Struthio camelus: one gene and its partners. The protein of the gene in region 1 purifies or fractionates together with the protein of each later gene. This does not show direct contact. Links are inferred from orthologs where the notes say so. Each region holds a gene or a part of one and is shown on either strand. Other genes may lie near its edges.

Region 1 (7,650 bases):
AGAAGTTAAGCAATTTACTTTAGCCAAGATGGGCCAAAACAGAGAAAAGCACAAGATGTTCCTGACCTCAAGAAAATCTGCTCTGGCTGACAGGCACTGGTGTTTAAGGTCTATGCTTTCTAAGCAACCAAAAAGAGAATAACTGCAAGTAAAATAATCACTTCCTACCTGGAATAAGTCTCCATCAGATGACACAAACACTTCTCTTCTAATGAGATAAAAAAGTGAGTATCTCAACAACAGAAAATAAATACTGTGAAAGCATCTACAAAAGAATGGAGGGACTGAAAGTTAACAACCATGAACTGTGGTACTGGCCTTATCACATCAAGAAAACCAAGATCATCTAGGCTGTCTCTGGTCTTCATAGTTGAGGCTTCCCCTCAGAGCAGGGCAAGGACCAAATCCTGCCCAAGAATTCTTCTGTGTCTGCACCTGTTCAACCTTTCCTCTGAAGACCGTCCTATTTGTGACTGACTTCCAGTGCTCATCACTTCTGCAATGAAACTTGGGAAGGAGGACAGAATGCTAATGTTAGAGGGCACTATAATAAGATGACGGTGCCTTTAGCATGATTTTTACACTTGGATACTTTTTAACACTTCAAACACCCCACTTAAATAGCCTGGAGGAAGAAATGATTTACACACAAACAGGGCTTTCCCAACTTTATAGGCCATGCAATTTGTCGGTAGTCTACGCACAGCATCCAAGCGCTTCTTCAGAAGCATCTAATTTAACTAACTCTTTAGTATGACTTCACCAGGAAGTCAGCATATTTCCAGTTCTGCTCCCTAAGCCTTCTAACTCTAACATAAATAAGCAGCACAAAACACCTCAGGCCACCAATATTACTTTGAAAATAGCATTCCTCAGAGGACACTTTCAGTTCTGTCTTCTCCTTATATTTCTATCAACCGAATAATTCTCTGGAGCAATTGCCATGCCTTTTACAGAAATAGTTCTCTCCTCCCAATTCCCCAGGAGACAGCAAACTGCCAGTTTTAAATGCTGCAGAATGAGCAGAGTTTCCTAGACACTGGACTTCCCCATTTCATTCCCTGCAGAGGCTGCAACACTCAGCTGCACGTGGGAACAGGATCACTTGCTCTTGAAAAGAAAATCTGTAGCTAGAAGAAGAGTTGGAATCCTCACCCTTCCCAGCCCCCAAATCACTGTCTATTCCCCCAGCAAGTTGTACCAGATCACTTCAGAAATTAACCAGTTAGAGGAACTTTAATAGCTGCTTGGAGGAGCTCTTTTAACTACATCACCATTTTCAGAATATGACCCTACCCCGATATAGGCCTGCCACTGACATTTTTCCCCAGAAAGGCAAGGCAGAGTAAAACTTGCTCCAAATGTCATTAAAAGATTTTCAGTCGTAACAGCCCGTCACAGATGAGGCAATTTGGCATGATATACTGCTCAGAAAACAGATATAGGAGAAATGAAGAACACTCAAACCTGGGAGTTTGAAGCTACGAAGAACTGCCCTTCCCCACCAGTTTAATCCTTGCCTCCTAATCCTCCACGATAGGAGAGAGCTTTCTTCAGAAACCAGCCAGCATGGCTTCCAGACAGTAAAAATAGCGTATGTATTTCAGGGACATTCAAAATCTGATCGACTGAAGACAGTCTACTCCACAACACACAGACAGAGAAAAATCCTTACTCTAAACCTGGTATATACCCTATAGAGGCCATAAGGATTAGCGTGAGATGCGCAGCCAAAGCATCCTGAACTGAAACACCACCTGCAGGAAGCACAGCCCTTCACCGTATGTGCTATATCATGGCCCTGGGCTGGACTACAGACCATCCCTGCAGAGCCCTGGGTCTGAGCAGCCAGCTCTGTGGAACCAAGAGATTCATGGCTAAAGGTGCCGCTGCGCCCTTTGCCCTTACGATCTGCTCCGAGCTGTAGCAAACCCCTCTCCAGTGAAACATCACTGCTCTGCTTAACACCTCTCATGCCGTGAGCTCCTTAGCACCCAAGCGCACACCGAATCCCACCCTGCTCTTGCCCGGTGGGTGCTGCCCACTGCAGAGCACCAGTTACGCCCACAGCGATATGCCTGGCACCGGCAGCGCTCCCGGAGCCGGCAGAGACCTCCCAGGCCCAGTCCAGCCCCCAGCAGGCTCCCAGTGACGGGAGCGCCGCCGAAGGCCCCGCAGCTCCCTCCCGCCGAGGTCCCCAGCCTCTCCGTCCTGCCACCCCGCTCCCCACAGGGGCGCGCAGCCGGCCCCCGTCCTACCGCCCCCGGGGCTGCCCCAGGCCCCCAGCCCCAGCCAGGCTCTCCCATACCTTGTCTTCTCTCCGACAGGGCTGCCCCACGGCTCCCCCCTGCCCCCCTGTAGGGCTGCCCCATACCCTGACCCCAAACCGGCCGGGCGGCCCCAAGGCTTCCTCAGATCCTGCCCCAAATCTTGCTACGCTGCCCCAAGGCTCCCCCAGACCCTAAATCTTGCAGCGCTACCCCCAAGATCCCCCAATACCCTACCCCAAGGCGGCCGGGCGGCCCCGAGGCCCCCCCCAGCCCCCCAAGGCGGCCGGGCGGCCCCTCCCCAGCCCCCCAAGCCCGCCGGGCGGCCCCGAGGCCCCCCCGCAGCCCCCCGGGCGGCCCCGAGGGCCCCCAGCGCCACCCTCCCTCTCGCAGAGCTGCCCCCGACCCCAGACCCCCGGCCCGACCCTGCCGAGCTGCCTCCCGGCTCCCCCCGCCGGGCCCGCGGCCGCCTCCCCCAGCCGGCGACCCCCCGGCCCCGGGAGCGGGGCCCGGTCGCCGCCCCGGCGGGAAGGACGACGGCCCGCGGCCTGCCCGCGCGGCGCCGGGAGCGGTGCTACCTGCGCGCCTCCTCGTCGCTCTCCAACGCGCCGGGCCCCTCGGGCGCCGCCATGATCACATCGCACTCGGCCGCCGCCGCCATCTTACCGCCAGGCCGGGCGCGGGGGGCGGGCGGGGGGAGCGGGCGGGAGGCGGGCGCGGAGCCGGAAGGGGCGGGGGCTTCCGCTGACAACGACGGCGACACAAGAGGGGCGCCGCTCGCGGCCCGGGCCGGGTCGGGGCAGCGCCGCCCTGGGGTCCTCCCGCCGCGGCGGCGGGGCGGCGGCGGGGCGGGGGGGGCGGCGCGGGGCCCGGCCGGGTCAGCCGCGGGCAGCGGGGCGGCTCATGGCCCGGCCCGGGGGGGGGGCGCAGCCGCCGCCGCGGCCTCCAGAGGGCGCCGCGGCCGCGCCGGGTCCGCCGCGCCCCTTCCGCCGCCGCCGCCGCCGCGCAGGTGAGGCCCCGCCGGTGCTGCCGCCGCCGCCCGGTGCTGCCCGGCGCGGCGCCTCCGCCGGCTCCCCCCGGCTGGCCGCGGGCTCGGCCGTGTCCCCACCCCGGGCCCGGCATCCCCTCTCGGGGGGGGCGGAAACGCCCCGTAGGGGCCCGCGCGTGCCCCCGTGGGTCCTCGTGTCCTCGTCCCCCCCCTCCCTCCGTGGGGCCGGGTGCCCCCCACGGGGCTATGTGTCCCCGCCGTGCCCCCGCGTGGGGCCGGGTGCCCCCCTCTGTGCCCCCCACGGGGCTGTGTGTCCCCTTCGTGCCCCCCCGTGGGTTGGGTTCCCTCTCCATCCCCCCCCCACGGAGCTGTGTGCCCCCTCCGTGTCCCCCCCCCCACGGGACCGAGTACCCCCTTCGTGCCCCCCCGTTGGGGCTGTGTATCCCCGCCGTGCCCCCCCGTGGGGCCGGGTGCCCTCTCCACCCCCCCCCACAGGGCCGTGTGCCCCTTCTGTGTCCCCCGCCGTGGCCATGTGTCCCCCCAGTGGGGCTGGATGCCCCCCCTTGCCCCCCCCAGGGCCATGTGTCCCTGCCGTGCCCCCCCGGTGGAGCCGGGTGCCCCCTCTCTGCCCCCCCAGTGGGGTCACGTGCCCCTCCCGTGCCCCCCACGGAGCCGTGTGCCCCCCCGGTGGGGCCAGATGCCAGATGCCCCCCCATGCCCCCCCCAGTGGGGCTGGGTGCCCCCTCTGTGTCCCCCCCGGTAGGGCCATGTGTCCCCTCTATGCCCCCCCCCAATTGGGGCTGTGTACCCGCTCTATGCCCCCCACGGGACCGTGTGTCCCCCTTTTCCCCCCACAGGGCCGTGTGCCCCCTCCGTGTCCCCTGCCGCAGCCACGTGCCCCCCGCTGGGGCCGGGTGCCCTCTCCATCCCCCCCACGGGGCCGGGTGCCCCCCCACGGGGCCACACGCCCTCTTCGTGCCCCGTGCGGGGCTGTGCGCCCCCGCCGTGCCCCTCTGACCGCCGTGTTTCGGCAGGGGGGGGTCCCGCCAGCCCTGGCCCTCTGCAGGGCGCCCTGAGCCGGCATGGGGAAGAGCTGCAAGGTGGTTGTGTGCGGACAGGCCTCCGTCGGGAAGACGTCTATCCTGGAGCAGCTGCTCTACGGCAACCATGTTGTCGGTGCGTACAGGCTGGTGGGGGAGCCTGGAAGGGGCCTGCCGGCGTTCCCGGTTGCTCTGCGAAGCCCACGCGGAGGAGACGGCTGTGAGACAGCCCTGCGCTGCGCCTGCGCGGGGGCGGGCAGGGCCTGGCACCGTCGGGCCAGAAACCCCCCCCCCCAAACATGCAGGCAGCAGGGGAGGAGGAGAGGTGGCCGCCCAGCAGGACAGCGGTGGGGACGGCGCCGTGGCTGCCTTCCCTGTCTCACCCCAGCCCACCTCGCTTGCAGGTTCTGAGATGATCGAGACCCAGGAGGACATTTACGTGGGCTCCATCGAGACAGACCGCGGGGTGCGCGAGCAGGTGCGCTTTTACGACACGCGGGGCCTGCGGGACGGCCTGGAGCTTCCCAAGCATTGCTTCTCCTGCACTGATGGCTACGTGCTCGTCTATAGCACCGACAGCAAGGAATCCTTCAAGCGGGTGGAGCTCCTCAAGAAGGAGATTGACAAGTCCAAAGACAAGAAAGAGGTGAGTAACCACGATCTCCCCAAGGGAATGGGGCTGCAGAGCAGGGTCTGCTCCCCTTGTTCACCAGTTCTCTTCCAGAGACTCTCTCCTCACCTCTGGCTTGTCACAGGATGGTGACAAGGTCCTGTTCCGTAAGACCCTCAACTGTAATTGGTACCATCCTGGGATGCTTTCGGGGAGAGTATTTGCTCTGTCACAATGATCATTCCACAGCCATCGAGCAGAAAGGCTCTGCATGGAAGAAGGTTCACACCTCTCTTGCGAAGGGGGACAGGGCTTGCGTGTCTGCTGCTTTGGTTATTTCACACGGGGCCTTCAGTTTCCAGGGCTGTTGACTTGAGAGCTCTCTTCTTCCTGCCCTTCTGGACTGGACTCTTCTGCAGGCCACCAGCGTGCTGAGCATGCACGAGCTCAACAGGCCCTTCCGCTTTGGGGCTGGTCTGAGATACACAGCCTGAACATGATGGGGAAGCTGCCGGAAAGGAGCACTTGGAAACATGTCTTTTTAAAGGCCTTAGCATAGAGGGGAATTTAGCAGCAGGCCTGGGCCTGGCACTGAGGGTATCAAGGCGGAGCCAGGCAGTACCGGTCGACTGTTTGTTACCTTCAGGGATTCTTCTCACCTTTATTTTTTGAACAGGTCACCATTGTGGTTTTGGGTAACAAGTGTGACCTGCAGGAGCAGCGTCGAGTGGACCACGACGCCGCCCAGCACTGGGCCAAGGGCGAGAAGGTGAAGCTGTGGGAGGTGTCCGTGGCTGACCGGCGCACGCTGATTGAGCCGTTCATCTACCTGGCCAGTAAGATGACGCAGCCACAAAGCAAGTCTGCCTTTCCCCTGAGTCGCAAGAACAAGGGCAGTGGCTCCATGGATGGCTGAGCCTTGTCCTTCCCTTCCTCTTCATTGCCACCTCCTCTCCCTCACCTCCCTCTTTTCCCTGCATTCACCTCCTGCTGAGCCTGTTTGGCATCACGGAGCCAGCGGGAAGCATGGTGGCAGGAGGAACGGGCTTCCCAGGGCTGGGGACAGTCTTTGAGGATGAGAGAGGTGACCCATCTGCCTGGGCTGGGACAGGGACTGCTCTTATCACTGCCCCCCTCCTGCAGACGTTTGAGGTACTGCAGGGAAGCCAGGATTCACCACCGAGTGACGCTCCTCTCCTCGCAGGCCTCGTCTCCTGCCCAGGCGCAGGCTGGCAGACCTGGGGGATGCATGCTGCTCGAGGGAGGCACAGCATGGGGCTAGCTGTCACGTTGGGATCAGCTCCACGGCTGAGCGCTGCCAGGCCAGAGGAAACTAGTTCCCTGGCTGGCGAGCTGCTCTGTTTTTGTATCATGCTGGTACCGTGTGAGAAGAGTCTCTCTGCTGGCCGCGCATCCCGTGTGGTGTGGCTGCTCTCAGAGCAGCGCCCCCTCGTACTACCCCGGCTGGCTCTGCGGCGCTGTAGCTTTGGCCCAGTATATTACCCCTTCCCAGCAGCGTCCTCTGCTCCTTTATGTACGGAAGCGTTCAGGCCTTGGTCAAGTCGTCTGCAAGATGTACGTCCTGCCCCACCTGCATGGCGCAGAGCAGGGCGAGGTGCTGTCGCTGAGGGCAGGGTCAGGCCCCACAACTCATGGTGCCTACATCCACCACGCTGCAGCTCCGCTCTTGCTAAGTGCAGCCTCGGTCCTAGCCTGGGAGACACTGGAACTGTGCTTAGCCCACAACAATCCGACGCTTAGGGCTGTGGGAGCTCAAACCACGCGTCTGTCACGGTGCTGGCTCTCCTCTCAGAACCACAAGACAAGGGGAACGGTTTCCCGCACACGTTCCTTTTGGCTAGTCTGGATCTAGGCAAAGATGACGAGAAAGCCCTGGCTTGTTTATACTTGTTCCTTTTATTTACTGAGTAACACAATAAAGCGATGAGATTTGATTATCAAAATATTTTCCTTTTTTTTCCCCAACAGTTATAGTACATCAAAAAATATACAATGAACATTACAGGAGGGGTACTGGCCAAGTCCCTAGAGTCTGTTTATTTCATTTTTGTGGGTTGGTGGATTTTTTTTTTTTTTGGAATCAAACTGTTCACATCACTCCGAGGTTATGTACAGAGGGGCACACGTTATTGAGCACTATGGACTATGCCCTACTACCTAGTACAGCATATGCTAAGTCAAAGGCAGTAAATGCTTTGGATAGCACAGGAGCAGGGAGGGTCTCTGGCGGCAGAGGGGGAGGCGACAGGGACTGTGTTCTTACACAGCTCGTTGCAGTATTATTGTTATTCGAAGGAATGGCTTTCAAGGGGTTAAAGTGCCAAGTGTAGGAGTGTATTAGGACTCCACTGGTTGGGGGGGGGGGGGGGAGGTGGTGGGAGCAGCCACTGCTGGCTCCAGCACAGGCTTTTTAGAACAGAATGCAAGGGAACTCCCCACCAGGGCCTGCCGGCTCTTGCAGGCTGGAGTATGGCCACAGCCGGCTGCTCCCCGGTTCCCGGCGCTCCTGAGGCTGGCGTGTGCATGCAGGAGGGGACGTGCCGCCCTTCTGCGGTGGGACCAGGCCGAGAGGCTGACCGGGGAGGGTACGGTGAGAAGAGTAGGGGACGAGGCTGCCAGGAGCAGCGCGAGGGCTGGAGCTGGGGTGACCCACGGGCTGCTTGGCATTAAGACACTGTCGGAGCCGCGTTTCCCCCCCCCGCGACCCGGGGGCCTCCGCCAGCG
Region 2 (7,629 bases), on another chromosome or scaffold:
ATTGCTGTGATTATTATTTATGCATGAAAGATTGTGTAACAGGCGACACCAAACAAAAATTTGTTGTTACAATGCATATTTCTATTCATAAAATGGAAACTTTAAACTGATACTTACAATGCAGATTTCCATTTTTTTTATGCTTCATTTTTGTAAAAGTTTACCTAGAGATTTGAACAAATCTTGCCATATAAATAGCACCACCACAAAGTTAAGTGTTACAGTGTTGTATTTATATTTACTGTTTAGGAAATTATCATGCAGGAATGGAATCATCAAATCTTTATATTTGATAAAGTGCTACAATAATATAGAATGAGCCTCTAGACATCAACCAGAACATGCTGTTTTGATGACTTTCAGCTGAGTGAAACTACTGTTTCCATTCATATGTATGAAACCAGTCATGTCTATTCAACGACAGTGTTTAGAAAAAATGGACAGCACGCATGGGTTTTCCTCTGAGGTGAATGAACATTGTCTGTGTATTCAATGAATGGTAAGCAAACATCCACATTTCTGTTTGTCCTGTATGTATTCTTCTGGATACAGAACTCATATGTCATGTAACAGTATATGGTTTTTTTTTCTTTTTGGATTGTTTACCCTTTCCATTGAGAACACACAAGGAGTGGTACCTACCAGCAGACAGGAGGTGCATTAATGCTATTTTTGAGAGGGACCCTATCTGCTCAGGAAGACTACCAAAGGATTGTTTGGTAGTAAATGTGCAAAAATATGTAACTTTACTTACAAGCAATATCTCAGTACTTACAAGTAACTGCACCTATGGTGGACAAAATATCTATTAAAACTCCTTTCTTCATAATTTCTCCGTCCTTAATTCCATTCAATTTTCCTTCGTTTTTAAAAATCTGTTCAGGTTTTACTAAAACAACGTATTTTGACACAGACTTGGCTTGCTGGTGTTCTTTTCCAGATGAAATCACTTTACTTTGGGAGCAATTTTATGATCCACTATGTGATATATTTCTATTTGTTGGGAAAGCATGTCTGTAAAGAGTAGCAGAAATTGAATTTACTCAAATTTATTCTATAACCAGGTGATTTTCAAAAATCATGGAGTTCTTTAAATATTTTATGTAGGTAAACATTTTGGTTAGTAGGAAATTATTTAACCATACATAACCACATACGTTTTCTGATACATTCTGTTGTTGTGATAAACTGGTCTTTGTTATTTGCTGTGCAGAAGTCCTTATGACTTCTGAAAAGTGAAGGAGAAATGGATATGTCGTGGTGGCTAGGTTGTGTAATTGTTACAGAGGACATTCCACACCATCGATGTGCATTATTGCTCTTATATTTACATACGCTGAGAACATGAGCTGCCACTGATTAGCTAATACTTTTGCTCAAACCTCAGTTATTCAGCTACAGTCTGTATATTCAAAAGCATAGTAAGTTAAGTTCTTTTAAAGCTTTACTCAAAAAACCACAAGTGAAAGTTTGTTACCTAACAGAACGGCATCAGAAAGCTCTATTTACAGTTCCCCGTCTTGCTTTCTTGCACTGCTGCTTCCATATGATATGACAGGATTTGAACAGCCAACACTGCACAAAAGAAGTAAAAAAATAAAAGAAATATAAATTAGAAAGCCATCATTATCTCAGACTGCAGTGCTAATATGACAAGGCAGTTGGAAATCAGATGAGCAATGAACTTGCAGTTGTCATGCTAAGAACACAGGAGCCATCCACATGGACTCTAAAGGCCTTCAACAATTAGCTTAGCGATTATTGTGTTTGCAAGAGTTTATATTTGTTAGTTTTGCTCCAGTCTGTTAAGATTATCATTCCTACTCAAAGTATTTGGCACTTCCTATAGTCTCCCTTCTTCCTAGCAGTTTGTCTCCCTGTCTGAAGCCAAATATATTATAAAATAAGATTTCAGTACTTTTAGCTAAAACTCCCCCCTCTATTTCAAACACTACCTTATGCAGAAAATTAATTACGTAACAAGGAACTTTTAAGGCCCTATGGAAGATAAATTGTATCAACATATTATTTATGGTTAAAAAAAGCTGAGATGTGAATTTGGCACAGGAAAGGCAGGAAATAATAGCACAAAAGCACATGTTCAATAAAATTAATGCCCTGTTGTTCAGCCTTAGTGGTATCACAGGAAACACTTCTGCAGGAGTCAGTGCAAGCTCTTCTGCTAATTGAAAGAAATGAATCTTACAACCTAAGTGTCTACGTGTGACAGTGACATTGCTGGTAAGTCACTACCTAGAATATACGTTGAAGACAATCTGTAGAGCTTTAGCTGCAGAGACACAAAAACATACGGCTCCTCAGGGGCAGGCAGTTCCTTGTGCAAGAAGAAAAATAAAGAGCTTTGTGCTGATGACGTTGTTTTTGTTGTTTTTCAGCTCTTCGTTCTGACTTGAAAGCTTAGTAACTCTTCATAATGGCCAGTCTCTTCCTGTTGCATCATTCCCATTTACTGGGACAAAAGACTGCTCAATTGGCAATAATCACCAACAATTAAGACTTTTTTTAGTAACCAACTGGTATTACCCAGTGGTGCGCTGAATTCTGCAGTCACACAGAAGCTGTATGGGTTGGTAGCTGGTATTCGCAGTTCCAGTGTACCCCATCCGTTCCCAACTTAACGAGCTGTTAGAGAGGTTTTTGTTGATGCTGGGTTTTTTGTATAGCTTTATTTAAAATCCTTTAAAGCACGCCTCATTCTCTGATAGTCTTCAATTATTTCAATACCATCCACTAGGGAAAAATCTATCATTGCAACTGTGTTAGATATCACAACGTATTGAGGCTATAGGTTCAGGGACAGATTTTTGGTCCTTTAAATCAGAAGGAACAAAAATGGCACTAACTCCACATAAAGCCAATTTATCCACATTTGTGCACAGAACAGGCTGGCAAAAGGGCTAGCATGCAACATGTGCAGTAGTGAGTACGAGTAAAGCATTTGACAGCACTTGTGCAAGAACTGCCATAGACTGAGAGAGGGAAAAGGCTTCCAGCTCTGCACTGACCCTTTAAATTTTAGAGATCCGGCAGCAGGTGCCCACAGGAGGCTGTGGGAAGCGGACGCTTTCCACTAATGACCCTTGCCAGTATTTGCATGCTTCTCCAGCATTCAGCGAAAGGACTTTCCTGGCCAAAGCTGTATCTAGACCATCCTGTTTATCAGCCATGGTAGGCCTGAACTTTGGTCTTAGTGATGTAAGGGTCTGTCTTATGCATTGAATCTTTGATGCTGAAAAACACTTGCAGAAAAGGCAGGCATAGATATGTAGACTAATGTGGTACTGCTGTGGCATTTTTCTATTAGAACATGAAACAAGCTGCTAAAAAACGGAGTCTTGTGTTGCTTGGGTGTTCTGGACACTTTATGCTTTGTCATATATTTAACAAACTGAAAAATGTGTTTGATCAATCAGCATGTGGATGAGGGTGGTCTTGGGTATGTGTCTAACGCACAAGTAAATTTATGGGACACCCAAGCAGAGCTCTTTGGATTTGCCTCAACTACAGCAAGAGGGAGCTTGCCAGTATGAAACGGAGGATGTAACGCAACCAGAGGGGTGACAGCCACTAACGGACCTTTCCTTTAGGCATTTACTGAAATCTTTTCCATGACTAGCTGTGGTTTCATAACATCTCCTAGCACTAAGCTCCACGATTTAACTGTATGTTGTTTAAAGCATATTTCTCTGACACTGTTAAGAGTCTTCTGATCGTGTTCATGTGGTCTTGATGTATTTTTATATATTCTGGAGGCCGGCATCCTATTGCTAATACTAATTTGCCTTTTTTTTGGAACACATTTTTAGAGTGAATGTGTTATTTTGAGCTTTAAAGCACTGTTCTTCCATGAGTTCAAAATGACTTTATGTGAACAGCCCCCCTGAAACTTGAAACCCATTGCAGCATCAGCATTAATACCCGCAGATTCATCGAACAGAGCAGCACGCCATCATCCATTTTCTCTGCAGTGCTATTAACTCCCTAGAGTTGTCTTCTTGTGCCCGTCCGTTTCCTCTCTGAGTTTCCATGTTACTTGAATGACTGCGTTAACAGAAGTTATAGTTGTCATACTAGCTGTAAGAACTAGCCAGGTTCAAATTAATTCCAACCAAAAAGGGAAGCTAATAGATGTTCATCCTAGAGGCGGTAATAAGAACATATATATTTTCTAAATAAACTGGTGAATATGAAAGAGGACACTACCTGCTTAAAGCTTCAAAGTTGTCTCTACAAGCCCTTAGGCTTTATCTCTAATGCCAACGCGGCTTTGGACAGGCATCACCTGACTGACCGGTATCGGGTCGTGGGGCCTTTCACTGTCAGTGTCCCGTAAGCCTCCAGTTAAAAATAAATACATTTTCCGAGGGGCTGGTGAGAAGCGGAGATGCGGGCTCCAGCAGGAGGCACGGTTTCCTCGGTTTTGCCGGGGCTGGCGATCGCCGCCCTCGCTAGGAACAAGATGGCGGGCGGCGGGCGCCACCCCCGCGCCACACGGCCAACGGTCGCCGGGCCGCGGCGCGCTCCCGCCGCGGCGCGGGGGGGCGGGGCCGCCGGGGCGCGGCACCCGCGGGGCGGCAGCGCGCCCCGCCCCCCGTCACCTGACTGCCGGGGCCGGGGCCGGGGACGCGCCCGCCGCCGCCGCCGCCCCCGCGCGCCTGCCCCACCGCCTCCGCCATGGTGCTGGAGTCGGTGGTGGCGGATCTGCTGAACCGCTTCCTGGGCGACTATGTGGAGAACCTCAACAAGTCCCAGCTCAAGCTGGGCATATGGGGGGGTAAGGAGCCCCCCACCCCCCCCTCCCCCGCCTGCCTGTGCTGAGGGCCGGCGAGGCGAGGCCGCTGCCACCGGCTGGGCGGCTGCTGGCGCCGCGGCGGGGAGCGGGTCTCGTCGGCGGCGGGTCCGCGGAGGGGGCTGCTCCCGCCCCCGAGGGGCGGCGGGCCGTCGGGGCTGCGCTCCTCCCGCCGCCGCCGGCGAGGGGCGAGCGGGTGAGGGGCGGGCGGCGGGGCGGGGCGCGGCCCCCCGCGGGGGGCGGGCGGCCGTTGCGCCGCCTCGAGGCCGGGGGCCGCCCCTGGGGGAGCCGGGCGCCGGCGGCTGCGGGGCGGCCGGGCCTTGGCGACCCTTGGGGGAATTTTGCTCCTTCTTCCCCAAAATGAGGGGCGGGGCGGAGGGGCGCCAGGCGCAGGTGACTTCCCCGAAGTCGTGTGTGGTTAACGGAGCGGCTCTCCTGCAGTAGCGTGGCATGGCTCTTCCCAGTCAACGCGTTCAACGTTTAAGTTTGTTGCTCTTCAGGCAAGCGAGAAATAGCTGAATCGCTGTCTAGGGAAATCTGGCTGTCTTAGATACATGAGCGATGAGATTTTCCTCATCTTCCTGATGTTGCCATGGTAGTAAAAATTCATGTTTTTAACATTTACAAGTTATTCAAAATACCAGTATTATGAGCAGAACATATCACTAAGGAGTCTTGTGTTAAAGCACCCGGAGGTATAGTTGGTGTGCGTTCTTCATCACGTATAATTCCCTGTGCCCACGTTCCCTTTGGAATTCTTGTTACGTTGCCTATTTCAGGAAAAGTTGCTGCGTTTAGGAAAACAACCATGCAAGTGCCTTACATCTTTGTGGTTTTATGGTTCATGCTGTTCTTCCCGCTATGTAAAATCAACACAAGTGAGAGATAGCACCATCCTAGTCTACACTACCTTGAGAGAACCGCGATTATCATTCATAACACAAAGTGAATAATGAGGATGATAGTAAGAAAGGTATTATTAGGCATAGTTCATGATGTAGAAACATGCAGAAGTATAAATTAGTGATATTTCCATAATCTCTCCCACTGTTGGATTTTGCCTCAATAATGAGTGTTAGTGATTCATAAATTAGCTATTTATTATGTTACTCTTTAACATTTTATGCTATCCAGTAACTGGACATTTGATTTTTGATTCTACCCTTGTGTTCTTGGGATGGTTGTATCTGCGTTCCTTTCTCCAACTTGCGTGATACTATAGTTTAAATCACTTAATCTGTACTTCTGTTTTTCTTCCATATAGGTAATGTGGCACTGGACAATTTACAGATAAAGGAGAATGCATTAGTAAGTATTTTACAATTTTTAAATTTTTTTTTTTTTGGATCCAAGGACTAAGTCATAAGGTAAAATACTATTTACTGTAGGTCCTTGCTACACAGTGTGCCTTGCTTACAAGAACTAGTAAAAAAGTCCTTAGTTAACTTCCTCTGATTTTATTCAGGACATTGGAATAGAGGAAGAAAAAAAAGCTGTGGGTTAAATCATAAATGTGCTTCTGTCTTAAATATGTGACTTAAAAATTAGCCATAGATTTTGAAGTAAATTTTCAGTTGTTACTGATGTGCGCACGCGTACGTAGCCTGTCCTAGTATTTGAGGCTTGAAATAATAAAACTTTAAGTAAGATATTTTGATATCTCTCTGTTACCATGCCAGTCTTTCTGTAACACGTAGAGGGTTTAATTTCTGCTGTGACTGCTACTGTATTATCATATTTCCATTACCACTTGCAGGTCCATGCAGAAGACGCTTGTGTGTCTTTGAACACCTTATTAGGTCATATGGTTGTGCATAAGCCTACATGTTCTTTGCAACTTTGTTTGAATAAATGGGTTTCTGAGGCCTGCCTCCCTCCTGCAAATGGATTGATATAACTAAAGGTTTTTGAAAGACTGCTTTTCTCAGGTGCTGATGTGGGCATTAAAGGAGAAAAGGTTCCTCCTTCGAGGCTGGTTGAGGCTTATGTTTCTGACTTCCTGCATAAGTTGATGATTGTTTAAAACTGGCAAAGAAAACATTTGTAAGAAAGATGTGTACTCTGTGAACATTCAATGCGCCATCCTGTTCCTTTTAGAATAGGAGTGATGGAATGGGGGAAGGACAAGAAGCAGCCTGCATTAAGTACACAAATTCTTATCTGACAAAGTATTTGTTGATTTTTTTCTTTTTTATATTCTTTAATGGAGTTAATGAATGGCTGTACTGCTGAGACAATCTTACTGCAATCTTTACTGTGCTTCTGCTTTCACTAAAGAGATTTTGCACTTTCTCGTGAATAGAAAATATGTTGGATTTTTGCTTGACCTAATAATTGATTTTCTTCGTTGTTCTGGTTCACTTGTTTCACCCATCATTGATAACTTTGTTCTGCTTCGTTCTGTTTCACAACTCTGTACAAATACCTTTGTAATCTGGTAGTTATAAAAGGAAGGAAGAAGGAAAGTGGTATCTACTTTGTCTAGCTATCTATCCTTCTTGTTGTGAGAGCAGGATTGATTATAATTCTGCCAGTTCTGACTTCACTTATTTCAAGTACTGACTTATGCGACTAGCTTTTCAACTCTGGAACTGTAAATAAGGAGAGTTTTCAACTGCTTTATACCTGTGTGGTGGCTTTCAAAGCAAAAGTAAATAAAGGAAGGTTGACGTTGAATATTTTTCAAATGTAAAAAAAGCAAAGCCCTTAAGAAAAGGAAGAGAGGAATAAATGGCAGTTGCTTTTAGAATTGTATTTTGCTGCGTCCATTTTTCCCTTTAGAAGTAGTAAAAGACCATTTCATTAAAATGGAAATCTGT
Region 3 (7,240 bases), on another chromosome or scaffold:
ACTGTAAACTAAATCAATAATAAAATTTTTAAAAAGGTCTTTAAATGGAGGATTTGCTGTGTTTCATCAAGATTAGCTAAAAATATAGGTAGACAGTGGTTTGTGAAGTGTTGTGAAATGTGATTACAGCTTATAGCCAAATTCTAAAATAAGTATGATTGTGTATACTCCTAACTTCAGCAATAATTGTACACATAGCCAGAAACAGATTTTGATGACATAGCTTGAGAGACGACATATAAAACAAAGCCAAGGGGAAAGCTCCAGTCCTCATCTTTAATATAATTGTAGTTCAAAGACCAAACTAATGTGGTTTACTACACAAGATCAGAATCATACTGTTTCATTCCCTCTCAATCTATACAGACATTCCCCACTTCTCTGCCAGCCCTCTAAATTCATCATACCTTTATCTAGACTTCCCGTGCTCTTTCATGCCTTTAATTACTTTCCCTACTTTTCAGATACTTTGCTCTTCTTCTCTTCCCTCTCCTTATTCCCTACTAGCCTTTTCTCCAACCCTAGTTAATCTTCTTCCACTTCTAACATCGCTTACTCCTTGACAGCGGACATTCATGGCCAAAGTCTGTACTTGACAGGCACGGAATCGAAAGGAATCACTTACGTGTATTTCAGAATTCCTTCTAACTTTGAAGTCCAAATTATCACACTTTTATCCGCTGAACCAGATGCAAACCGTTTGCCTAGGAATTAAACATAATTTAAATCTCACACATTTAGGAATCACTTTCATTTCAAATATCCAACCAAAGAGAGAGCAAGAAGTTCTTGAACTTCACAAGGCTCAAGTAATAAAGGGCCTAACATTGCAAGTGTCGTCACGTGGCTGTGCTTCTCAGTCTGTGTGAACGGCCTTACTTTGTTATTCCCTCAGAGAGCTCATCGCCAAACCTGGCAATGCAAGTAGCCAGTCTGCCCAGTGCTGTCAGTCACAGGCTGAAGACTTACCTTACCAGTCCCAAGAGGAAAATGGTGCATTTTCACAAGTATAACGTAAATACGTTAGCACCTTTTGAAAGCACAGTATTTGACAGGAAGTCCTTACAGTCTGCACAGAATGAGAGTCAGAGACAACGAAAGATTTAGAAGCAAAGTGAGCTCTGTAGTGAGCGCAGCAACATATGAAGGATCAGACAATTGAGAAGCTCTGGGAGAGAGGAACTTGTGAAAAAAAATCAGAGGCAGGAAGACTGCTAGAAAGAGGGCCTTCTGGGGTAAGCCTTCTCCTCATGCTACCCCCACAAGTATCAATTTAACTACAGCTGAAGTAGAAGGGGAAGGGAAGTAGGGACTACAGTTCTTGGATTAACATAACAGGTAACCTTAAATTATAGACGTGAAAACGTAGTACTTCCTTCTGAGTGTAGCATTTGTAATGCATTTCAAAATCCCAATAATAAAAAGATCATACATGTTCAAAACATGATCACTGAAACCACCTTGATTACTTTACTTATCAATTTTCAACAACAAAGGGAAGAGATCGTGCTCTACAAAGTAGAATAACAAAACCTCAGAACTGATATTTACCATCTTTAGCATAAGCCACACAGTATACAGTGTCCTTATGTCCTTTCAAAGGCTGGATTAAGGTCCCATCGGAAGTATCATATACCTATAAAAACAAAAATGAACATAAAACCTCAGCCTTCCAATGAGTTGCACAGGACAAGGGCCTAAAGTTACCAAAAAAACCCAACAAGATTATGCACTTTTTTTGTGCTTGCTTTTATGCATGCAATCCATGTCATTAGTTAGTTAGGACAGGGCAAGAGAAGACATTTTAAAATGTAAGAGGACCCTTCCTTGAAGTAATGCTTCTCCTTCAACACTCCGAAGGAACGAATACTGAGCACTAGTCAATTACACGTACAAGAGACATCATGTTTGACCTGCTTGCTTTACATCATCCAATTCTTTCCCTATTTGAGAATTATTTTTAAACTTAACAAATTACTGGAAAGGACTATCATTACATACACTCTTCTGTGAACAGTGAAACTAATAAAGCCTGCTCCTGCGACTCTAAATTACACCTCTGGAAGCGTGACATCCATCCACCCCCACGTGAGAGCTTTGCAAGACACCATACGAGAACCTTGGTCCCAAGCTGGGTTAGCAGCAGGCAAGCAGGCACGGGGTGCTGGGTAAAGCTCTAGTTGAATCTTCTCTCAAAGCAGGGACGTTAAGTGGGGCTTCTTTCCTCTTTTCAGAGGGATTTCCATGAAACTGGCAACACCATAGTATTTGTATACCTTGGCGACTGTGGGAAGTTTAGCTAAGAGTCAACGCGTTCAAAACCTCTGGGCGAGGTAAGGAAGGACAAGATGACACAAGCAGCGTAAAGCTCATTACCTCTGGAAATGAAGCTAAAAAAACGGTAAGAAACATCAAATAGCTTTGAAATACTTTACAGCTAGAGCATATGAAAACATGCATACGTTGGGCTGGCGCAGGAGGAGTTAGAGGATTTTTGGCAGGTTCATACATTCGTAAGTCAAAATCACAGCCCCGTGGCTGCAACCGCAAGAGGAAAGAGAGGTGTCCTACCAGCAGCCTGTTGCCAGCAGCAATTATCAACTGGGTCCCGTCCGGCTTGAACGCAAGATCATAAATACTAAAGAAAAACAAAGCAAATCCACCCACGTGAGCTGACAGACCTTTAAATACCTGAAGAGCCAAAACACCCTTCCATCGATTTTCAACGGAACTTTAAAGACTTCGCACAACAACCCCCTCCCCCCCCGCCAGCTCCGGGGTACACCGGACTGCCGAGCAGAGGCCCGAGGGCACACAACCGGCGGCGGCGGCCCCCGCACGGGCCGGGGCTCTTACCACTGCTCGGCCTTGTCGCGCCAGGTGAGCGCGGCCCGCATGGCGCCCGTTTGCACCGCCACCGGCGGGCGCCCCTGGCAACGCGCATGCGCAGGGCGCCGCTGGGCGATGAGGCGGCACTGCGCAGGCGCCCACGGGGGGCGTGGCCGCATGCGCGCCGTGTGTGTGTGGGGGGGGGAGGCTGAGGGCCGTCACGTGGCCGGAGGCGCCTGCGTCATGGCGGCACCGGAAGGGGGGAGCGGGCGGCGGGCGCGTTGCCATGGCAGCGGGCGGGCTCCCCGAGCTCCTCCCCCGGCTCCGGTGGCGGGCGGGACGTCGCCGGGGCTGGTGATGTCACCAGGCGGTGACGTCACGCGGGTGCCGGCGGGAAGGCGGAGGGGGCGGCGATGGCGGCGGCGGCGGGCCCCGGCCCCGGCCCCGGCCCCGGCCGCCAGCGGAGCCCCCCGAGCGGGGCCGCGGGCGGCGGCGGCGGCGGGGCGCCGCGCGGGTGGGAGAGGCTGGTGACGCAGCGGCGGTCGGGAAGAACAGCGGGGAAGTACGACGTGTGTTTTGTCAGGTAGGGCGGGCGGTGGTGGTGGTGGTGGTTCGTTTTTATAACAAGGTAGTTGTTGAAGCGAAGAGCAAGAGGCTGAAAAAGCCATCTCTCATCATTTACTTTTCTTTAATACTGCAGTCCCGAAGGACATAAGCTAAGATCAAAAGGTGCGCTTGTGAATTATTTTCGTAAAACTGGAGAGACAACTCTAAAAGCAGAAGATTTTGATTTTACTGCGCCATCTCGGAGCAGCACCCGTTCAGGGGCCAAAAGATGCAGCTCAAAAGCTGTGGGAGCTGGTTTACAGGAGGAGGATCGTCAGAGTCAAGCACAGGACCTTAGTGTACAGAATGGTGAAGAAGATAAAATTCATAAGGTTCAAACTGGAAATGAACGGCTGGGAGATGTTGCTGCTACAACCACTTGCAGTAGTAAGGATTTGGTCGTGAAAGAAGTAAAACCAGAGGACTGTTTGAAAACCAAAAAAAAGGGGGCAGTTGGAAAAAGTGTTCAGAGTAAGAAAACTAGAAAGAGCTCAGAAAAGAAGAATGCAGATAATACCCGAACCAAAAGACAGAGAAAAGTATGTAACAAACAAGAAACTGAGTGCATTCAGAACAAGAAATTCTGCAGAAAGAAGGACATAGGTGTCCCTAACAGTCAAGGGAGAGATGACCACAACACAGACCCTGTGGATGCAGGAAAAAGAAAAACTCTTTTAACAGAGGAATTACTGATTTCTGGATCACAGTCAGACATACAGCTAGGATCAGTCACAGCTCCCTTGGAAAAGGAGTTGAAGAGCCTAGCTGAGCTGGAGTGCATAGAGAAAAGTTTTAATGAAGCATCTTCTGCAAAGTCTGAGGAGAAGACTGATGAACTGGAAATAGGGAAAGAGACAGATCAAGTGAATCTAGATAACCAGGATTTTGAATCCAACACTGAAACGGATGTTAACATTTTGCAGCCTTGTGACAAGAAAATCCTCACAGAAGTTAAAATGCTGCAAGGTACATATATGTTTTTGAGTAGAGTATTCTAACATTTTGCTAGCGGTATTCCTGAACTTTAGCAGAAAAGTATTCTGTTTCAGATGGAGCTGCTTTGTGCTTGGACATACTTCATCCATCCAGATGAAGAGATCTGTATGTGCTCCTGTGGGAATCTCTCATTTCTTTATCCTGCAGCATTTAACTTAATGTAGATTTATTCACAACTGGAACTTACGCTGTTGGTCTCTTCAGCTTTATGATATAATATAATAATGATCATTACCTTCCTTGCATTTGCTCTTTTAATGCTGCTGTACTGGTCAGTTTTTGATACATGAAACAACTTAGTTTTAGTTTGTTTCATATGACAGTAGGTTGTGGAGAACATTTAATCTTTGACTGTAGCTGAACATGTTTCCTCAGGCTGTTGCAAAGTAATGGTTTCTCTTAAGAAGATACTTCATAGAGCTGAAATACTGAAGGACTGGGCTGAATCCAAAGTGCATTTACATTCTACACACCTACTCGAAAGCCTTGTATTCCCATCACAACATAAAGAGAAAATAGCATATGAAACCTAAAAGCCAAATATTTTATGTTTTTTTTTCTTTCTAATTGTGACAGAAATAACGCTAAAGTATTATTTCTTTACAGAAGAATCTATTCCACGAACACAGGTGGAAAAGAGGAAAACAAGTCCGTATTTTTCAAGTAAATGCTGTAAAGAAGGTATAATATTCCTTAGGGAAAGAAATTCTGTTTTATGCAGGGAGGAATACGGTGGCTTAAGATCAAGTAATGTTACAGAAAATTTCGTGCAGTTTTAGACTAGTTAAAGTATAGCCATGCTCTGTGGCATTGGAGAGCTAGGCTTAGTGCACAAGTGCTGATCTTGTCCCATTTTAAACCTTGGTGGTTTGTATCTTGCAAACAACCATTATGCCTAATATAAAATGACTCAGTAGCTCTTTCAGTAACTATAAGAGGATGGACTGAGTGGGCTTTGGGAAGGTTCTTTGTAGACCACAGAGGTGTTTTTCCTGTCAAGGGGAAACCCTGTACTCTGTGGCTACAGCTCTGTACTTACAGAAGAAGGTGAAGTTAGCTGTGAAGGGCCCTTCTTCTCCGAAAGGATGTGTACCCTTGAAACACAGAGCCACAGATACAGGCAGCCTTCGCTCTTACTGTAGACTATGCCATGGACACACAGTCCTTGCAGTGTTGTAAAGGAGAGCGAGTGAATTGCTAGTGCTCCATCCACATACAGTGCTCCCACAAAGATGAATCTGCTCCAAAAGTTCTTTCTTTTTCTAATTATTTTCTTAAATAGATTAATCCGTCCTTTACTGCCCAATAACTTTTCCCATATTGCCTTTGTGTACAGCTCCGAGCCCACCTAGAAGGAAGGCCTTCAGAAAATGGACTCCTCCACGTTCTCCTTTTAACTTGGTCCAAGAAACTCTTTTCCATGATCCATGGAAACTCCTCATTGCAACTATATTTCTCAATAAGACCTCAGGTAAACAGAGTAATACGATTTTGTGTTGGGTAAGTGTTTGGGGTGCTGTTGTCATAGGGTCAGAACAGCTGCCAAATTTTTTATGGCATTAATGAAAGATGAAATGCATTTCAGCTTGTGTTAATGTAAAAAAACCCAAAAAGTAAATCCTAAGTCAGCAAAAGTTCACTTCTAAAAACATGCACAGATAACCACAAAAGAGAATTACCTGCACAGTCTTCTGTTCACAGTGATTTCTTTGGCTAGGTAAGGCGGCAATTCCTGTGCTCTGGGAGTTCCTTAAGAAATATCCTTCTCCTGAAATAACGAGAACTGCAGACTGGAAAGAAATGTCAGAGTTGCTCAGACCTCTCGGCCTCTATGAACTCAGAGCAAAAACTATAATCAAGTTTTCAGGTAGATTTTCCTGAGTATGGTTGTTGAATGGTCTAAATTATATTAGCAAAGAAACAGCATTGTTTTCAAACAGTGCTCTGTGGCCTTCAGTTTGGCAAATATTGGTGTTGTCTTATTTTATGCAGCTTTGGGATACGTTGGTCTTGTCTGTGTAAAGCTGCCCGTCCTATTGCCTTAACTGAGAATAAAATAACATACATAATGAGTTCTGCAAGAGACCTTCGTTGAGGAGAATTGTTTGAGTGGAAAAAGTTAACGGGTATCTCCAAGACTGGTTTTGTGTTTTCCAACACTATGATAAGATGGCTCTGCTTTGGTTCATATCAGATGACCTCCAGAAGACCATTCCTGCCTAAATTTTTCTATATACTTTCTGTACTTCATACTTAAAATAAAAGCATTCCTCTGTGGATTCCGAGGGGAGAGATTTATTTAAAATTCACCCACAGTGATTTGTTTGAAAGATGTTTTGTGATGGACCCAAGGGGACTCTTCACCTACTTTGGCTAGGAAACAGCTAAAACTTGTAGTGTTTTTCATTTAAAATGTTCTAAAACAGGTTTGGGACCATAACAGAGAATCAGGATTTTGCCTAGACTTGCTTTCTGTGATCCGCTTGTCTGTACGTAGTGAAGTATGTGACTATATGTTCTAGATGAGTATCTGACCAAGCAGTGGAGGTACCCCATTGAACTGCACGGGATTGGAAAATACGGAAACGACTCTTACAGAATCTTCTGTGTCAATGAATGGAAAGAGGTATGTGATGCTGTCATTCTTGAAGGGCTTGATGCAAAACATGCTCAAAGCAGAGGCAGTCTGTCCTTCGGCTTCATTGGACTTTTACAGATGTAATCAGTAATCACGTGAATTAAATAAAATTATAGCAAATTTTCATCTTCAATTAATTGAATTTACAGAATGTACCTTTTAAGAGTCTCA
Region 4 (7,476 bases), on another chromosome or scaffold:
CGTTGGGGCGGCGGGAGGAGCCGCCGGCTGGGAGCGATTCCAGAGGGAGGGCAGGCAGCTGGAGTGGAAAATTCCAGGCGGGAGGAAGCATGAGCGAGACCGTCGCCAGCTCTGCCCTCCCACACAGCCCCGCTGCGACACGCCGCCGCCCGGCCCGCGCCGCGCCGCAGCACCTCCTGCTGGGCACGGCCCGGGCTGGCCGCCGCCCGCTGGCCCCCTCCGGTTCCTCGCGGGCGAGGTCCGGCCAGAAGGAGGCGGGAATTTCCCCCCCCCCCCACCCCCGGCGAGGCCGGGACTGGCAGGCGTTTCGAGGCAGGGCGCCCCCCTTCCTCCTCGCCCTCCTCCACCCCGCAGAGGCGGCCGGTGGGCCGCCGTGTAGGGGATGAGCACGCAGGGAGCCGCTTGGGGGGCCCCGTCTCCTCCGTTAGCCGGAGACACGGCTAAGCCGTGCGACGGCAACCCCGCACCGTGCCGCAGAGACACCGGGTCCAAGGCAGAGGGCTCAGTTTTCCCAGCGGCAGGGCCCGGCCACCGCTCGTGCTGGCTATGAGCAGCAAAGGGCTGCCCGGAGCCCTGTGCTGAGCGGTGGGGGCGGGAGTCAACGGTTCGGAGGCCAAACGAGGGCAGGACACCCACGCTTCACGCCCCTACCCGGCGTGCGGCCTCCACGGGCCGGGCGGCCGCCGCGCAGTGCCCGCACCGACGGGCGTCGGCTCGGTCCCCGCTGCTTCTTCGGCGGCTCCTCGGTGCTCGTGCGGCAGCCGGCCCGCGCCACCGCCCGCGGGACGCTGCCGAGCCGTCCCCGCTCCGCCGGGCAAGGGGGAGGGCAGAGAGGCGAGCTGCCCGGGGCAGCGGCTCCCGTCTGAAGCCCCTCTCCGCCCCCGACCACCGCGCTGCTGCCGCCCGCTGCCGGGCGCTTGCCAAGCGCCGAGCGCACATTGTTCTCGGCATTCCGCTCTTTCCAGCAGCCCTTCTCTCCTCCCTCTCTCCTCCCTCCCAGTCCCTCTCCCCTCCCTTCCCCAAGTCCCTCCTTCCCTCGTCACCGAGTGGTGTATAAATCCCCTTCTCCGGCGTATCCCCCATCACGGGAGACCCTGGTACTTTGGCCCCCTGGGCGGGAGGTGCAGCCTCTGGCCTTTGGATCGCCGGGACTTTGCGCTCCCTCCTGGACCCCTCGCTCTCGGCCCCGCTCACTCTCCACAGGGGTCTCTGGACGTTTCCGACTGGCCTCTTCCCTTCGCCTCTCGCTCCCGTACCAGGATGTCGGAAAAACGCGTAGAGGAGGCGCCGGCGGAGCTGAGCGCCAAGGTGAGACCCTCGGCATCCCTCCCGCCAGCCCGCTCGCCTCCCCCCGTCCCGCTCGCCGACGCGGGAAGCGCCCCGCGCGCAGGCACCGGGACGGGCAGAGCACCGCGATCCTCCCGACTTATCTGCGGCACACGGTCCCCTCGCCGCCTCCGCGCCCGCTGCCCGCCGCTCTGCCCCCGCCAGGCTCCAAGGCGCTGCCCTTTTCCTGCCCTCCTCACCTCGCTGACCGCTCACCGGGCTGCTCCGCGCCCGCTCGCCGCCGCCGCGGGGCGGGGGGGAGGGAGGCGGCGCGCGGCCCCGCGCGCTCGGAGATGCCCGGCCAGCAGGGAGCGCGCGCGGCTCTGCGCGGGGCGCGAGTGCCCGCGCGCGGGGCCGTGCGTGGCGTGGGGGCGGCGCGGTTCCGCTCCGCTCTGCTCGGCGGCCGCCTGCGGGCCGCGTCGCGGGGGGGGGGGGGCGGGGGGGGGAAGTCATAGGCGAGCGGTCCCAAATGTAGGCGAAAGAGCAGCCGGGCGGACCCTCCCTCTGCCCCCCGCGCGTCGCGCTGGCGTCAGCGACGCCGGGGCGCTCGTCAGGGCTAGGAGTTGCCCCCCTCGGAGGCGTCTTTGCGTCCCGCGCGGCGGTTCTGGCAGACCCACTAGGAGAGGTTAATGGAGTTGAGCGGAGAAATTGAGCGGGGAAGAGCGCGGACAGGAGGCGTGGGGGCAGGGCTGGGCCGGGAGAATGCAGGGAACAAATGAGACGGCGGTGACTTACGATCGTCGGACAGACCTGCGTTGTTACTGCATTTGGACAAAGAAAAGCCCTAAATCGTAGAAGACTAAAAAGCCACCGGAAGCCCAGCTGCTGCGCTGTTGCAAGGATCAAAGACTGGCTGTAGTTCCTTGCACTCATTGCGAGCTTAGGCAGACGCTCACCTCCCGAAAAGGAGTGGGAAGGATGAATGACAAAGATCCTAAATAACATGTGCCATGTGGCTTTGCGGTTTTTTACTACTTAGCAGCCCGAATAACAGAGTATTCTTCTCAAATCCCTGGCGGCAACAGGAGCATAGGATAAATGTCAGGGCAACGGCTGATCCTCTGCCTCGTCTTCTCCAGAAACGCTTTTTGCGCTGCAGAAACGGGAGCTGTGGAGACCCCCTCGGGCTTCTGTGCTAGTTAAGGCGAGATTTCTTTCTTTGGTCATTGCCGCAGGGCTCCTCGGCATCCCATTCAGTGTCCCAGCTGAGGGGTGCCAAGCGCCTGGAGTGGGAGGGATGGCTTGGGAGCCCTTCAGTCCAGTCTCTATCCTCTTCCCTCCCAGCCCGGTCAGCCTGCCATGCCCTTCGCGTACCTACCGATAGACAGCTCTGGCAGTCCGAGCTTCGATGAGGCTGGGAGACTAGGACCCTCTGAGTGTGTCCCCAGAACTTGACCTCTTTCGGCAGAGCTTAGAAACCACTGCAAACTCTTGAGGGTTTCGGAGGCTGGGCAGTTACTGTGCCAGAAGGCTCGGAGGCCCCTAACTGCACGCACTGGACACCGGCAGCTCCAGGTGCGATTCGGAGGGGCGGAGTGCGCGTCCGTTGTGCGGCAGCCAATGCAGCGAACTTTTATGCCACCCTGACTGCGGGGAGAAAGGACACTGTAAGCCCTCCAAAACACCTTGCGGCCAGGCGGCAGGCCGGTGGGCTGCGGCGCAGCCCCGGCGCCGGGCGGCCGCGGGCTGCGGCCGGGGGCGGGGCGCGGGGCGGGGACGGGGCCGGGGCCGGGCGGCCGTTGGGCTCGCGGCGGGCAGCGGCCGTTGGGGAGCCCCTAGCGGGCGGCGGGGGTAGGGCTGGAAGGAGGGCCGGCTCGTTCCTCCGCCGCGCGCTCGGCACCTCCGGCCTCACACCAGAGCCTGCGTTTGAGGGGAAAACTTCCCTGTTTTAGTGTAACTTAAGAGTTTCTCGGGTTTTTTCCCGAATAAAATGCGAATACTGGCGTGTATTTGCAGCTTTTCTATGTCGCTGTCTGCTCTTCTGCTGATCCGGGAGGGGAGATTTAATGCCTAATTTACATTTTCTCTACTCATCGTTATTTTGTATCTCCTTTCTAAACGGCCCCTGTTTAAAACTGAGCATTCCAGTCTTTTTTTATTTCCTGCCACTGACCACTGGAATGATTTTTCTCATCTTGCGTATAGGAAATGAAAGAAAAGAAGGAAAAACTAGAGGAGAAAACAGTCCACAAAGAAAAGAAGAAGGAGATAGTAGAGGTGAGGCCCCATGTAGCCCTTCTGTTGGGCATATCTTTAGAGGAGTCTGGGAGGATTTTATAAGGTGGTTAGTCTGGGAACTTCAGGTTGTAAGTAGGAAGGGAATAATGGGGATCAATCAAAAAGAGAGGGCAGGCCAGTGGAGCTCATAAGGGAGAAGGCTCAAATGAAGAATGAGCTGTGGGATAAATGTGGAAGATGAGCCTTGAAGGATTCAGGCAGCGTAGCCGCTGTGGCCCAGTGGAAGAAAGATCAGAGAGGAGAATGAAGACAAGGGCTGGTAGGAGTTAGGGGGAGGTGGCATTGGGAACAGAGTCTTACACCTACTCAGAGCACTCTGAGGTGCGTAAGGAGCACAAGCTGAGGGAGATGGAGAGAGTAACAGTGAGGAGATGCAGATTGTTGAAGGTCAGAAGGAATCTGGAAGCAGGTGCGTTACACATGGGTAACCAGAGAGATGTTCTGATTGTTGGGAAGGGATTTCAGCAGCTTGTTGGGATTTAAACTTGTGGAAGTCAAGGAAGCTAGGGCTGGTGGGAAAGGATTGGAGGGGTTGGTTTTGTAAGGGATGGAGGCTGGGAGGAGGGTTTCAGCTGTGTGAGACAGCTGGGATAGTGGAAGTGACAGGGTCTGAATAACAGTGCAGGGATCACTTACTTGATGCGCATCCAACACTGGAGTCTGACATAGCGGGAGCTGTGGGGATTATACTTGTGCTTGCAGCAAAGACAGCATGGGAATATTAGCCTGATGCCAATTTTTGCTCTGGCCAATTTGTTTTACTCAGGATGAGGAAAATGGAGCTGAAGAGGATGAGGAAGAGAATCCTGAGGATGTGGATGAAGATGAAGGTGGTGATGAGGATGAAGGTGGGAATGATCAGCTTGGGGGAAATGGGAGGAATCAGGTTATGGGAATATGAAATATCATAGAGGCGAATTCCCTCTCCAAGCCTTCTGACTGAGATTAGATTCGCCTAAAAGCTACCTCAGTTAACTTGTGATTTCCCCTTGTTTGTGCTTAGATGGAGATGAGAATGGGCAAGAGCAGGATGGACATGCAGAAAAACGATCCGCAGAGGAAGAAGAGGTGTGTGATAGTCTGGGAGTAATGACACTGAGAAGGAACTAGGCTACCTGCTGTGAGCTGATGAAATCCATGTGGATGCTATTGCTGAGCATCTCAAATCAGCCTCAGGTCTCATTGCTGCTTCACTGGGTCAACAAACCTGATGTGGCAGGGGGAAAACAGAACCTCACAGACCCTTTGTGGAACTGATCCAGGTTCTTCCCCCCAGCAGTCAAGGTGCTTTAGATTGTGCTGGATGATGATCCTTCAAAGAGCAGTGATTTCTGTGCTTCATGCCAGAAGCTGGATGCCAGATGGACTTTTAAGGGTTGATCCCAGGGTCTGTCTGAGGTGGTGTGAGTCTGGGCTTATATATCTGCTGAAACTAACACAGCAGGTATCCCTACAAATGGAGCTGTGCACGTCTTAACCATTAGCATCAGCAGAACAGCTGAGTGTCAGGCAGTCAAAGGTGCTGTAAAGAAGAGTGGATTTAGGGTAGGCCAAACGAATATTTCCATACGGAGGAAAGAGCAGCAGTAAGAATCTCATGGAGAAATTATGTGCCTTGGTGTGGTGACTGTTTGATGGTAACACCTTTTTTTCCTTCTCTTTCTCCTAAATAGGATGAAGTGGATCCAAAGAGACAGAAGACAGAAAATGGATCTTCAGCTTGAGTCCTCCCCTCCCATCTCTTCTGTTCCGTCCATCTCTCCTCCTCCATTCCAGCCCATGCTTGCACTGTCCATTAGCCTCTGGCTTCACACAGTCTCAGATGAGGAAAGATTAGAAATGCTCTCGGACAGGGAAGACAGCAGTTTCCTTCCCACCTGAAGATCTAGCCCATCTATGACATTCCCCAGCTGAAATTACTCCAGTCCCTCACATCCTTTCAACTGTACCCCACTTAAAAATGATCCTTTCCCTTCAAGAATCTCATCTTTTCCTGTCTCCCAGTAAGTAACCTTACCAGGCCCGTATGCCAAACTCTTCACATGGCAAACACCTCTCATTCTGTTTCACTTGTCCTCTCTTTTCACTAACATGACCGGCTTCTGCTTCTAAGACCTGCTGTCTCAAATATCCTCCCTGGATCCAGGAGGCTGTGGGCACAGATCTCATGGTGCATTTTCCAGTCCTAGGTCTCCTTTCATCTTCTTTCCCGTTGAACCCTGAGAGACAAAGAGAAAGAATATTACAAGCAAATAATGTTTCTATTAAACCACACACAGAGACAGAATTTATTTTAACCTTTTTTTTTTTTAAGTTTACATGACAGACAGCAAGCTGGCCCTCGTGAATTTTTTCAGAAGATAAAGGTTGTTTTTATATATGAATTTCATCTGAACTGCATATTTTTTTTAATTTGGAGGCTTTTTTAAAACAAATCAAGAGATAAACAATTAATTGAGGACCAAACTTTGATTTCCATTTTTCCCTTCAGATTCTCTTGTGACCATTTTTTTGTAAATTAAAGGCAATACAGCCACAGCATTTTCTATGGCACAAACATCACGAGGATGATAGATATAAATATATATATTGTTTTCAACTAGCACTGTAAATAAAAGCATTTAAAAATATTTCAAACAGCTCGTGTAGAAAGGTGTGTCTATAAGTCTTAGGTTTTGTTTTGATCTGATGAGAAGTCAATTTGCAGAAGAACAATAGCATATATGTTGGCCTGACCAGCAGCTCGTGAAAAGAGGAACCTAAGTTTAGTCAAAAGACCTGTGCTAATTGTTTGAATTGCCCCTGCATACCGGAGAACAGTGTGCGTGGGTTCTCTTCCCTCCCTCTGTGCATTGCTCCATCTGGCAAGCATTTACAATGAGGACATGCCACAAACATGAGATAAAACTCCAGGCTTATCGTGAAGCTCTCAAAACCAGACCTCTGCACCAGATGGTAGAGGTTCAGAAAGGGAACCTCATCTGTGGCTGGTGGGCATAAGCAAGTACTGCTCTTAACTTTATGCTATTCTACAGTCTTCCTGCTCTCACTCTCATCAACCATGACCCATGTAGTATCAGTCATGCAGAACAACAGGAAGGTGTTTTAAGAAGCAAGAGCTTCAGTTCTTTGTCCCATCAGCTGCCTGGGAGAGATGAAACATTTGTCTTTTATCCTCGGAGACCTTTGAAGGAGCTACTGTTTTCTCTTCCTTTTTTAACTTTATTCTGAAAATCAAGTAATTGAGCTACCAAGACTGGGAGCTGTAAATCAGGTCTTTTGTCCGAGCATCAGCGGCTTGGTGTCTGTCCAACTACAGCAACAGATCAGATACTTGAAGCACAAACAGTTGCTAGCTTCCATAAATGGCAAGTGTCAATTGTTTATTTTTCTCCAAATGACCACATCTGACCAAGGCGTTCTCTGCCCTGCTTCATGGCTGACTCCAGGAAGCGGAGGGACACAAGCTTGATGGAAATGGCACGGCTAGTGCGAAGCCGCTTCTCACCTACAAACACCTCTGGGGTATGCACGCCTGCCTGGTGGGTTCTCTCTGCACTGTGCGGTGTGGGTGCGCTACTGCCTCGGCACACATTTGCTGGTGGAGTCTCTACTGGGACTGGGCCTGTTTCAGCCCAGAGGTCGCTGCAGTCCTGGTGTTCCTGTCCCAGCCCCTTCACTTCTTCGCAGCTCCACAGCCTGGAGCAGATTTGGGCCCTTCTCCTCCAGGCAAGGCTGGGTCTGGCTCAGACAGGCCCCTCCAGTTCTGGGAGATCCTTGTCTCCAGCTGGAACCATGCGTCGTTGGGTGCTGCACTTGGGCCTTTGCAGTGAAGCTGTCACAGCCTCTCACTGTTGCCCAGTGTCAGCTGGAGGCCATGTTCACGGTGGCCCTGTCCTGCTTCCACAGAGC

What was found.
Region 2: the proteins of DNAJC7 (region 1) and VPS13C purify together in Homo sapiens (co-immunoprecipitation; 4 studies listed by BioGRID and IntAct, counting the BioPlex papers as one, with this or other methods). This does not show direct contact. The link is inferred for Struthio camelus from reciprocal best matches to the Homo sapiens genes DNAJC7 and VPS13C.
Region 3: the proteins of DNAJC7 (region 1) and IFT122 purify together in Homo sapiens (co-immunoprecipitation; 3 studies listed by BioGRID and IntAct, counting the BioPlex papers as one, with this or other methods). This does not show direct contact. The link is inferred for Struthio camelus from reciprocal best matches to the Homo sapiens genes DNAJC7 and IFT122.
Region 4: the proteins of DNAJC7 (region 1) and MLF2 purify together in Homo sapiens (affinity purification with mass spectrometry; 3 studies listed by BioGRID and IntAct, with this or other methods). This does not show direct contact. The link is inferred for Struthio camelus from reciprocal best matches to the Homo sapiens genes DNAJC7 and MLF2.

Annotation. Positions count from the first base shown.
Region 1 is NC_090966.1:7,448,756-7,456,405, forward strand, and holds the start of DNAJC7 (dnaJ homolog subfamily C member 7), read right to left. Parts: upstream 3,003-7,650; 5' UTR 2,929-3,002; coding exon 2,846-2,928; intron 1-2,845. Other genes in the region: NKIRAS2 (NF-kappa-B inhibitor-interacting Ras-like protein 2), read left to right, coding at 4,338-4,431, 4,700-4,941, 5,582-5,821. UniProt on the Homo sapiens protein: Acts as a co-chaperone regulating the molecular chaperones HSP70 and HSP90 in folding of steroid receptors, such as the glucocorticoid receptor and the progesterone receptor.
Region 2 is NC_090953.1:20,608,650-20,616,278, reverse strand, and holds the start of VPS13C (intermembrane lipid transfer protein VPS13C), read left to right. Parts: upstream 1-4,627; 5' UTR 4,628-4,695; coding exon 4,696-4,795; intron 4,796-4,830; exon of another isoform or gene 4,831-4,953; intron 4,954-6,074; coding exon 6,075-6,118; intron 6,119-7,629. UniProt on the Homo sapiens protein: Mediates the transfer of lipids between membranes at organelle contact sites. Necessary for proper mitochondrial function and maintenance of mitochondrial transmembrane potential.
Region 3 is NC_090955.1:806,631-813,870, forward strand, and holds the start of IFT122 (intraflagellar transport protein 122 homolog), read right to left. Parts: upstream 3,018-7,240; 5' UTR 3,009-3,017; coding exon 2,857-3,008; intron 2,639-2,856; coding exon 2,572-2,638; intron 1,637-2,571; coding exon 1,552-1,636; intron 705-1,551; coding exon 626-704; intron 1-625. Other genes in the region: MBD4 (methyl-CpG-binding domain protein 4), read left to right, coding at 3,243-3,412, 3,530-4,401, 5,038-5,112, 5,768-5,902, 6,149-6,298, 6,954-7,057. UniProt on the Homo sapiens protein: As a component of the IFT complex A (IFT-A), a complex required for retrograde ciliary transport and entry into cilia of G protein-coupled receptors (GPCRs), it is required in ciliogenesis and ciliary protein trafficking.
Region 4 is NC_090942.1:90,710,614-90,718,089, reverse strand, and holds the start of MLF2 (myeloid leukemia factor 2), read right to left. Parts: upstream 3,005-7,476; 5' UTR 2,645-3,004; intron 1,667-2,644; exon of another isoform or gene 1,527-1,666; intron 1,309-1,526; coding exon of another isoform or gene 1,261-1,308; exon of another isoform or gene 693-1,260; intron 1-692. Other genes in the region: PTMS (parathymosin), read left to right, coding at 1,261-1,308, 3,472-3,543, 4,331-4,412, 4,568-4,632, 5,238-5,288.